Linked DNA regions of Lonchura striata. Each later gene encodes a partner of the first gene's protein in a complex. Links are inferred from orthologs where the notes say so. Each region holds a gene or a part of one and is shown on either strand. Other genes may lie near its edges. The genes, in order: GLB1 and CTSA.

Region 1 (3,903 bases):
TCCTCCAAACATGAAGAGATCCCATCAACATGAGTGTATTAGCAAACAGTGCCATTTGCAGCCTTAGAAGCAAACGCCGCGTCCTGGAATCAAGCTTTTCCGCCAGGTAACTCCGTGATAGCATCATGGAGAAGAAAACCACTCCTGCAGCCACTGCAGCCTTTGCTTCAATAGGCAGTTGCTTGAAGGAGATCATCTTTGCTTCCTGACTGCTCCCTTCTGTTCTGCAGAAGTCTCCAGAAGTCAATAATGTGGTTATGAAGGGATGCCTTGGGTCAACAAAGCCTGCAACCAGGAACCAGTATGAGCCGCTTTAAAATATTACACACATTCCCTTTTTCCCAGACTGCAATAAAGGATTGTTACTCTACATACTACACAAGATGCTGGGTCATGCAGAATCACTGTCATAACAACACAGAGATGTCCTGAAGTGGAGTAAATCAGACAACAGAAAAGACTGGATGCTGAAGTTCCCTTCCAAGCCCCCTGTTTCCCTCGATCATTTCTCCCCCACACCCCCTTTTCTTTTAAACACTTTTTTCTCATCAAGACTTCCTAATAGTAGATGGCAATACATCACAACAGGGTTGCAGTGAGTCCAGGGAACAACCATTACAGCATTTGTAAATCCCGTACATGTTCTGGGACTAAGTTGCTTGTGATATTACCTTAATACATTATTTCTGTTCTTCTTGCCAAGCAGTTGGCTCCATCTGAAAAGAAGGCAACACCCTACATCATTCTTACCAAATGCAAGAGGTTCTACTAACAGATGCTACAGCAGCAGTGAAATCTCCACTGGAACAATGCAACTGTGGTCCCAGAAACTGCAGATGATCAGCAGATGGATCCTTGCCTGCTGTTGTGAATCAGATTTCTCCAAAGCCCTGAAAATTACTAGGATCTGAAGATCAGTAGGATCAGTGAAACTCACACTACTCATTTCCAGCCCACTTCCACTACATGTAAAGTTTTCCAAGACTCAACACCTGTTCTAGTATATCCTGGTCTAACAGGATGCAACCAAGTTGAAAAGGGATTAAAATACCACACCCTGCTCCTTTAGAAGGGAGTACAGAATCTAATGCATGACTGTTCACAGACTTGAAACAAACAAGCAAGCATCAGTTATGTTTGAATGGTAGCAGAATTCCCTGGTTTGCTCTGTATTTTGCTCAGTCATGGTGTTTCTATTATCGCTCAGGTTGCACATTTCTATTTAGAAGAAACCCGTTATTGTAATCATAGATGAAAAAAGTTTGGTAAGTCTTTCATAATATACAAGAGAGACCATGTCTGACATAATAGTCCCATAATAGCATACTTATTTTCAAAACACTTCCTGTCTCTCAATCCACACTTAGATACAGAAAGCAAGCAATCATTATAGCAAAAAATGTCTCAGAACTAGGGTACAAAAGCAGCATTATAGGGCTCAGCAGTGAGCCTGAGCCCAGAAGTCTGCAAACCCCAGTTTGCCAGGTTGCTTATCTGCTGCAATACCCTCTCAAGCTAGTTTAAAAGAACATTAGCACATCTGTGATGACAGGACCCTGATCTACTTTGAGGACTAGACCAAGTTTTAAAAAGACCCATTCCCTTATTGCTTATGTCAGGGAACTGTGAGCTGATAAGGAAAATCGTACTTGCCAGCCTCAGCTCCTCAAACCCTCTCAGTTGTTACTAAACTCCTCTTAAGAAACAGTGCTATTTTGCACATATGTCTCTGCAGAAAACACACAGAGCTAGGAAGATAAGAGCACAATAAATGCCCTACTGATTCAAGTCCATAGGTCTTCTAGGCACCATGCAATACTCTGTCTGGACACCGGCAGTAAGAAACAGTGTATAAAGAAATGACAGGACCTTGGCCACAGTCTGTGGTCTGCTCCGTCGTGCTCCTTCAACTGACACAGCTGCTACAGGAGGGATTTTAGAGGGCAAATCCTTCACAGTCATTTCTTGTTGGAAATGGGTGTTAGAAAGTCTTGGATGTTGCTTAAGAGCCTGCCATATTTAAATCTGGGAAATCAATTTTTAAAAATCTGTTGAGTACTGTCTGGTTCTACAACCTCCCATGGCAGCAAATTCTCGAAACAATGTATTTTTACAGTACTTTATCTGTTTGAAATTAACCTATTAAATCCTCCAAAAGTGCTAATACTATCAAGTTTGAAGAGTACTTGTTCTTGCCTGCCACCTTCAAAATTTTGGAAGGCTCAGGAACAACCTCACCCCTAACAAAGTGCACAAACTGTAACCCAAACTCCCCTTCCATAAGATCTCACATGATGTTCTATTTTTCATACATCTTTAACCACCCGTGCCCCATCCAACCACAACATCTACCAAGGTAATAGTGTCACTCTGCCTCAAACTCGAGGCATAAAACACGGAAACTGTGGAGCATGAGGATTCGTCCTTGGGCTGTGGTGTTGCGTCCCGCGGGACAAGGCTGCTACAGCAGAATCTGTGGAGAACAGGTAAAGCCCCTTTCCCTCCTCTCGCACACCACAGGATCAGCACGTTTATCCCACGGATCTCCCAGCGGGTCGGTACCGGTTTCTCCCAGCGAGGCCCCAGCGAAGCCCGGGCGCGCAGGCAGCGCCGGGGCCGGCAGCCCCGAGCCCCGGCGCCGGGCGGCACCGCCAGCCCTTCCTCGGCCCCAGCGGCCGGGAGCGGCCGGGAGCGGCCGGCCTGCTCGGGAGAAGGGCAGGAGCCCTCCCTGCCGCGGCTCCGCGACCGACCCCTCGGCGCAGCCACCAGCCCGGCACCCGCGCCCGTGCGCCGCCCTGCATCGCTCACGGCTGAGAAAAGGACTGAGGCGAAGCGCCTTCCTCCGGCAGCGGCAGGAGGCCCCTGCCAGCCCTCCCCCGGCCCTCAGAGCCGCCCCGCTGTCCCCGGCTGGGGGAGGCGAGGCGGGCACTCACCGCCGCCCCGAGGAGCGCGGCCAGGGCGGCCAGCGGGAGCAGCAGCCGCAGCATGGCGGGCGGCACCAGGAAACGGCGGCGTCAGCTGACGGCTCCGCCGGGAAACGGCCGGCGCAGCACGGCATCCCTCCTCCTCCTCCTCCTCCTCCTCCTCCTCCCTGCCCGCCGCCACCAGGCAGCGCCGCCCCACCCCTCCGAGCCCGGCTTCCTCCCGCCCTCCCCTCCCGGGTCGCCCCCCGCAGCCCGCCGTGCGCCCGGGGCTGTGAGCCCGGGGCGCTGCTTCCCGTGTTAAAGCGCTGACGTGCAGCGCCGCGAGCTCCGGGGGACTTTGGGATGCAACCGCCGATGATAAATCCATGCAAGAACTTCTCCCACACATAAGTTTCCAAGATGGAAAGGCCTTGCTGACCTTTACCTCGCCTAGACAGCCCATCATCCTGACGGGAAGCACTGGGTCTAGGTGGTCTCCTTCCCATGTTAAAGCACTTCGGGGAGCCCTGCACTGAAATCAAGAGACAGTCACCAGCGCTGAGCACACCGCCAAAGTTTGCTCCCATGCAATAGCTGCCAGGACAGAAAGCTGCTTCTGGCCTTTACCTCCAGTGGTCAGACCGTCATCTGCAGCACCACTCACACTCCAGCCGGTCCAAAGCCAAAGACTTGCCCCAGCTTCCCAGAGGAATGCCAGAACATTCGCAGCCTCTGCCACCTTGGCTGGGCAAAAAGGCAGAAAGAAGCATTTTCCCAGGGAACCTCACTAACTAGTTCCCAGAGCAGCCTGAATTTTGCTCACTTCATATCCAGAGTTGAAGTTTTGCTGGCAGTTCTCCTGTCAGCAGATTTTAAACTTGATTCATTATTGCTGTGGCCAAGAAAGCCACAAATCATCACTCAAGAAATTACAAATCATCACTTTGCCCACAGGTCCCTCTGTGTTAACAAGCAATAAATCAAGGACGGCACCTTTCCC
Region 2 (3,903 bases), on another chromosome or scaffold:
GCCCCATGTCCTCGCCGTTGATGACGATGTGCATGTCGGCGGTGCCATCGGGCTGTGGGGCGTACAGCACCCCGATGCGGCTGCGCCGGGCAGTCGCGGGCAGCACGTTCATCTTGTACAGGTCATCCAGGATGTGGCTGTAGCGGCCGGGCCGGCTGCGCCCCACCAGCGTGTCACGGGGGATCCGCACCCGCTCGATCAGCAGGAAGGGCTCCCAGGGCCGCCCCCGCGCCTGCACCTCCTCCCCCTCCACCACCACACGGTTGTGGTTCCGGGTGATGGCAAACACCCAGGTGTCCCCCAGGTTCACCAGGTCCGGCAGCGAGTACTCGGGCACTACCTCCAGGCTCTGGGGATCGTGGGCTGTCAGTCCCACACGCAAGTGCCCGCACCAGCCCAGCTCCTTCTCCTCAATCTCCACCAGGAAGATCTGCCCGGGTGCCAGAGGCTCCTGGCTGAAGCAGAGCCCGTTGGCGAAGCTCTCCACCCGTGTGGCTTGCGTGTGTGAGGCATCCAGGCGGATGTTGGCGCCGTGGATGTGGTGGAAGCGTGCAGCAAGCCTGCACCGGGCAGCCATTGCTGCCGGAGCTATTTTTAACTGTCCCTGTCACAGCTGCTGTGAGGTGGTGACAGCCCGGCTGGGAGGGACAACCAGAGGGCTCCAGGGGGGTCCTAGTTCTATGGGGGAGGTTGGGGGGCCCTGTGGCTGCTGGGCACACCCGGGCCCAAACCAGACCCACAGACATTCCACACTGGACTGTCTAGCGCTGCCACCTGGGGTGCCTGGATGTGCCCATGCTGTCCAGCAGCAGCAGGCAGTGCCCGCTGGTGCCCAGTGGTACCAGCTATAGCCAGCAGCGGCCAGTGGCCATCACACGGTGCTGACTGGCAGGGCCTGGCGATGCCCGGCTTTACCCAGCGCTGCTGGGTGGCACCCAGCTGTGGTGCCCACCGGAGCACCGCACGCCCGGCTGCCCCCATTTGGGTGCGGGGTCTCTGTCGTTGCCCCCCCCGGCGGTGTCCCGGTCCCGGTCCCGGGGCCGCTCCCACGTGCGCGGGCGGGGCCGGGGGCGGGGCCGGCCGCCCCCGGGGCGCTGATTGGCCGCCGCCGGGCCCCGCCCCGCTCACGTGAGCACCGCAGGTCATATGGGCGCGTGTCATGTGCCCGCCGTGACCGCCGCCTGCGAGCGCCGCGCCGGGAGCGGCCGCGGTCAGCGGGACCGGGGGGCCGGGAGGGGACCGGGGGACGGGACGGAGGGGCCAGGACCGGCGCCAGGGGAGCCGGCCGGGCCGGGGGTCAGCCCCGAGTGCGGGGCCTGCCGGAGCAGCCGGGCCGGGGCGCTCGCGGGGCGCTGCCGCGGCCGTTCCTGGCTGACAGCACCCTGACCGTCCCTTCCGCCCACCGCAGATGGGGCCAGTGTTGCTGTCGTCGCTGCTGCTGCTGGGGTTGGGCCGGGCCGCCCCCCCGGACCATGAGGTGACCTACCTGCCCGGGCTGTCAAAGCAGCCCTCCTTCCGCCACTTCTCGGGCTACCTCTGCGCCGGGCCGGGCAAATACCTGCACTACTGGTACGTGGGACTGCGCCTGGCGATGGGGGGGGCATCGGCTGGCACTGGGCACTCACAGCTACACGTCCACAGGTTCGTGGAGGCCCAGAGCAATCCCCAGAGCAGCCCCCTGGTCCTGTGGCTGAACGGGGGCCCTGGCTGCAGCTCCATGGAGGGCTTTCTCAAGGAGCATGGCCCCTTCCTGGTTAGTAGTCACTGCTATCCTGTGGCTCAAGGGCTCAGGGGATGACCGGCTGCGTGGCACGAGCCATCCCTCTGTGTCCTGCCCTGCTTTGCCCATCAGTCACCATCTTCTTCCTCAGATCCAGCCTGATGGGGTCACACTGAAGTACAATGAGTACGCATGGAACAAGGTACAGGCACTGCTTCCCTTTGTGGCTTTAAGATAGGGTGGCTGTGAGCCAGTTCCTCCTGCTCTCTCCATTGACCTGACTGCTGCTCCCCTCCTGCCCAACACACCCTCCTCCTGAGTCTGCTGTTGAGCAGCACAGGAATGTGGCCACCCCAGTGCAGCCCTGGGGCGGGCCACACTCCTGTGGGCGCTGCCATGGGTGGGGCTAGCAGTCCTTGGCCCCACTGAGGCAGAGGGTCTCCCCTGATTGCTGGCTCCTCTGCTGTCCTTGCAGATTGCCAACATTCTCTACCTGGAGTCTCCTGCTGGTGTCGGCTTCTCATACTCCGATGACAAGAAGTATGGCACAAATGACACGGAGGCGAGTGACTGGGAGAGCCCTGCTCCCCTGCCTGCCCACTCCTGGCCATGGGGTTCAGCCTCACCACCTGACCATGCCACCTTCTCCCTGCAGGTTGCTCACAACAACTACCTGGCACTGAAGGACTTCCTCCGGCTCTTTCCCGAGTACTCCAAGAATGATCTCTTCCTCACAGGGGAGAGCTATGGAGGGGTCTACATTCCCACACTGGCAGAGTGGGTGATGCAGGACCCCAGCCTCAACCTGAAGGTGGGCAGCTTGGCTCTGCCCAGTCGGGGAGCAGAGGGCTTGGCACAGCCAGGGTGGGACCAGCCGGGATGTAGGGCACGCCTGGCCCTGCAGCCTTTTATCTCTTCCTGGGGTTCTGGCAGCAGCTGCTGGTGGACGTGTCTGTCCCTGCTGCCAGGGGAGTGTCCTCAGGCACCCCCAACCCTCCCTGTTCCCTCCGCAGAGTAAACAGTTCCACATCTGCTTCCTGCCTGCGGCTGCTCTGCTGTGACTGCCCTGCGGGGAGCTGGAACACAACAGGGTTGTTTTCTTCTTGCCTCGCAGGGAATCGCTGTGGGAAACGGCCTCTCATCTTATGAGATCAATGACAACTCCCTGGTTTACTTTGCCTATTACCACGGGCTGCTGGGGACAGAGTAAGAGCAGAGGGAATGCTGGATGTGCCTTCCCTGTGCAAGCAGGATGGGTGCACAGCTGAGGCTGGGGCTGTCTGGGTTGGTGGTGTTGAGACAAGGGCACACATAGCCTGCCCTGGGTCAGCATCTGGGCTGTGGCTCCTTGTCCCAGGTAGCTCCCGTGGGTGCATTTGTGGGGTAAGGAGGACACATGGCCAAGCTCTGTGCCTTGTGGCCACTGGGCAGAGAGCTGCAGGGCAGCTGTCATGTCAGTGTTGCCACCTGGTCCAAGTGGTCCTGGTCTCTGCCTGCAGGCTGTGGAAAGACCTGCAGGCCTTTTGCTGCTCCGAGGGGAAGTGCAACTTCCATGACAACTCCAACCTGAACTGCACACTCAAGGTGAGGGAGCCGGAGCCCCTATACCTGCGCCGAGCAGAACGTGCCTGGGCCCACAGGTCCACAAGGGTCCTGCTGAGTCCCAAACCCTTCCTTGCAGATGGGGGAAATGATTCAGATTGTAGAGGAGTCTGGCCTCAATATCTACAACCTCTATGCCCCTTGTGATGGAGGTGTCCCAGGGAGCATGAGGTGAGAGTAGCCCCAGGGAAAATAGTTCTATTAGCACCAGATTGCTTTGCACTACACAGAGGGACCTGGTGAGCTGGGCTGGGTAAGTGTCCCTCTGGGACACTTGGATGGTTGTGTGGCTGCTGCTGAGGACTCCCCTCAGGAGAGCCCTTAGCCCTTGTTCTCCAGGGTTTTCAGTCTGTCCTCATACTCATTATGGCTACAGATATGAGGGTGATTATCTCATCACACATGACCTGGGCAACTCCTTCATCCGGATGCCACTGAGATTCTCCTGGCGGCAGGTGAGCTGAGGTGCCCACGCTGCTGGGCTGTGAGCAGCCTCTGGCCAGTTGTGCTGTTGTGGGCAGAAGGGGCAGAAAGCACCTGCTCCATGGGGCAGGTGCTGCTGTGACAGTGACCCTCCCGAC

The links.
Region 2: the proteins of GLB1 (region 1) and CTSA are in contact, whole or in part, in a cryo-EM structure (PDB 7KDV), measured with the Mus musculus proteins. The link is inferred for Lonchura striata from reciprocal best matches to the Homo sapiens genes GLB1 and CTSA. Residues at the interface, in NP_033882.1 of Mus musculus: Tyr198, Asp199, Arg202, His206, Leu229, Thr233, Leu234, Gln235, Asp236, Leu237, Lys258, Phe259, Glu260; in NP_001033581.1 of Mus musculus: Glu29, Asp31, Ala37, Lys38, Gln39, Pro40, Ser41, Phe42, Arg43, Tyr107.

Annotation. Positions count from the first base shown.
Region 1 is NC_134603.1:113,036,238-113,040,140, forward strand, and holds the start of GLB1 (beta-galactosidase), read right to left. Parts: upstream 3,060-3,903; 5' UTR 2,988-3,059; coding exon 2,934-2,987; intron 286-2,933; exon of another isoform or gene 197-285; coding exon of another isoform or gene 1-196. Other genes in the region: TMPPE (transmembrane protein with metallophosphoesterase domain), read right to left, coding at 1-196.
Region 2 is NC_134619.1:8,202,222-8,206,124, forward strand, and holds the start of CTSA (lysosomal protective protein), read left to right. Parts: upstream 1-1,140; 5' UTR 1,141-1,210; intron 1,211-1,408; coding exon 1,409-1,569; intron 1,570-1,641; coding exon 1,642-1,753; intron 1,754-1,871; coding exon 1,872-1,922; intron 1,923-2,195; coding exon 2,196-2,282; intron 2,283-2,375; coding exon 2,376-2,531; intron 2,532-2,834; coding exon 2,835-2,926; intron 2,927-3,219; coding exon 3,220-3,304; intron 3,305-3,401; coding exon 3,402-3,493; intron 3,494-3,698; coding exon 3,699-3,777; intron 3,778-3,903. Other genes in the region: NEURL2 (neuralized-like protein 2), read right to left, coding at 1-577. UniProt on the Homo sapiens protein: Protective protein appears to be essential for both the activity of beta-galactosidase and neuraminidase, it associates with these enzymes and exerts a protective function necessary for their stability and activity.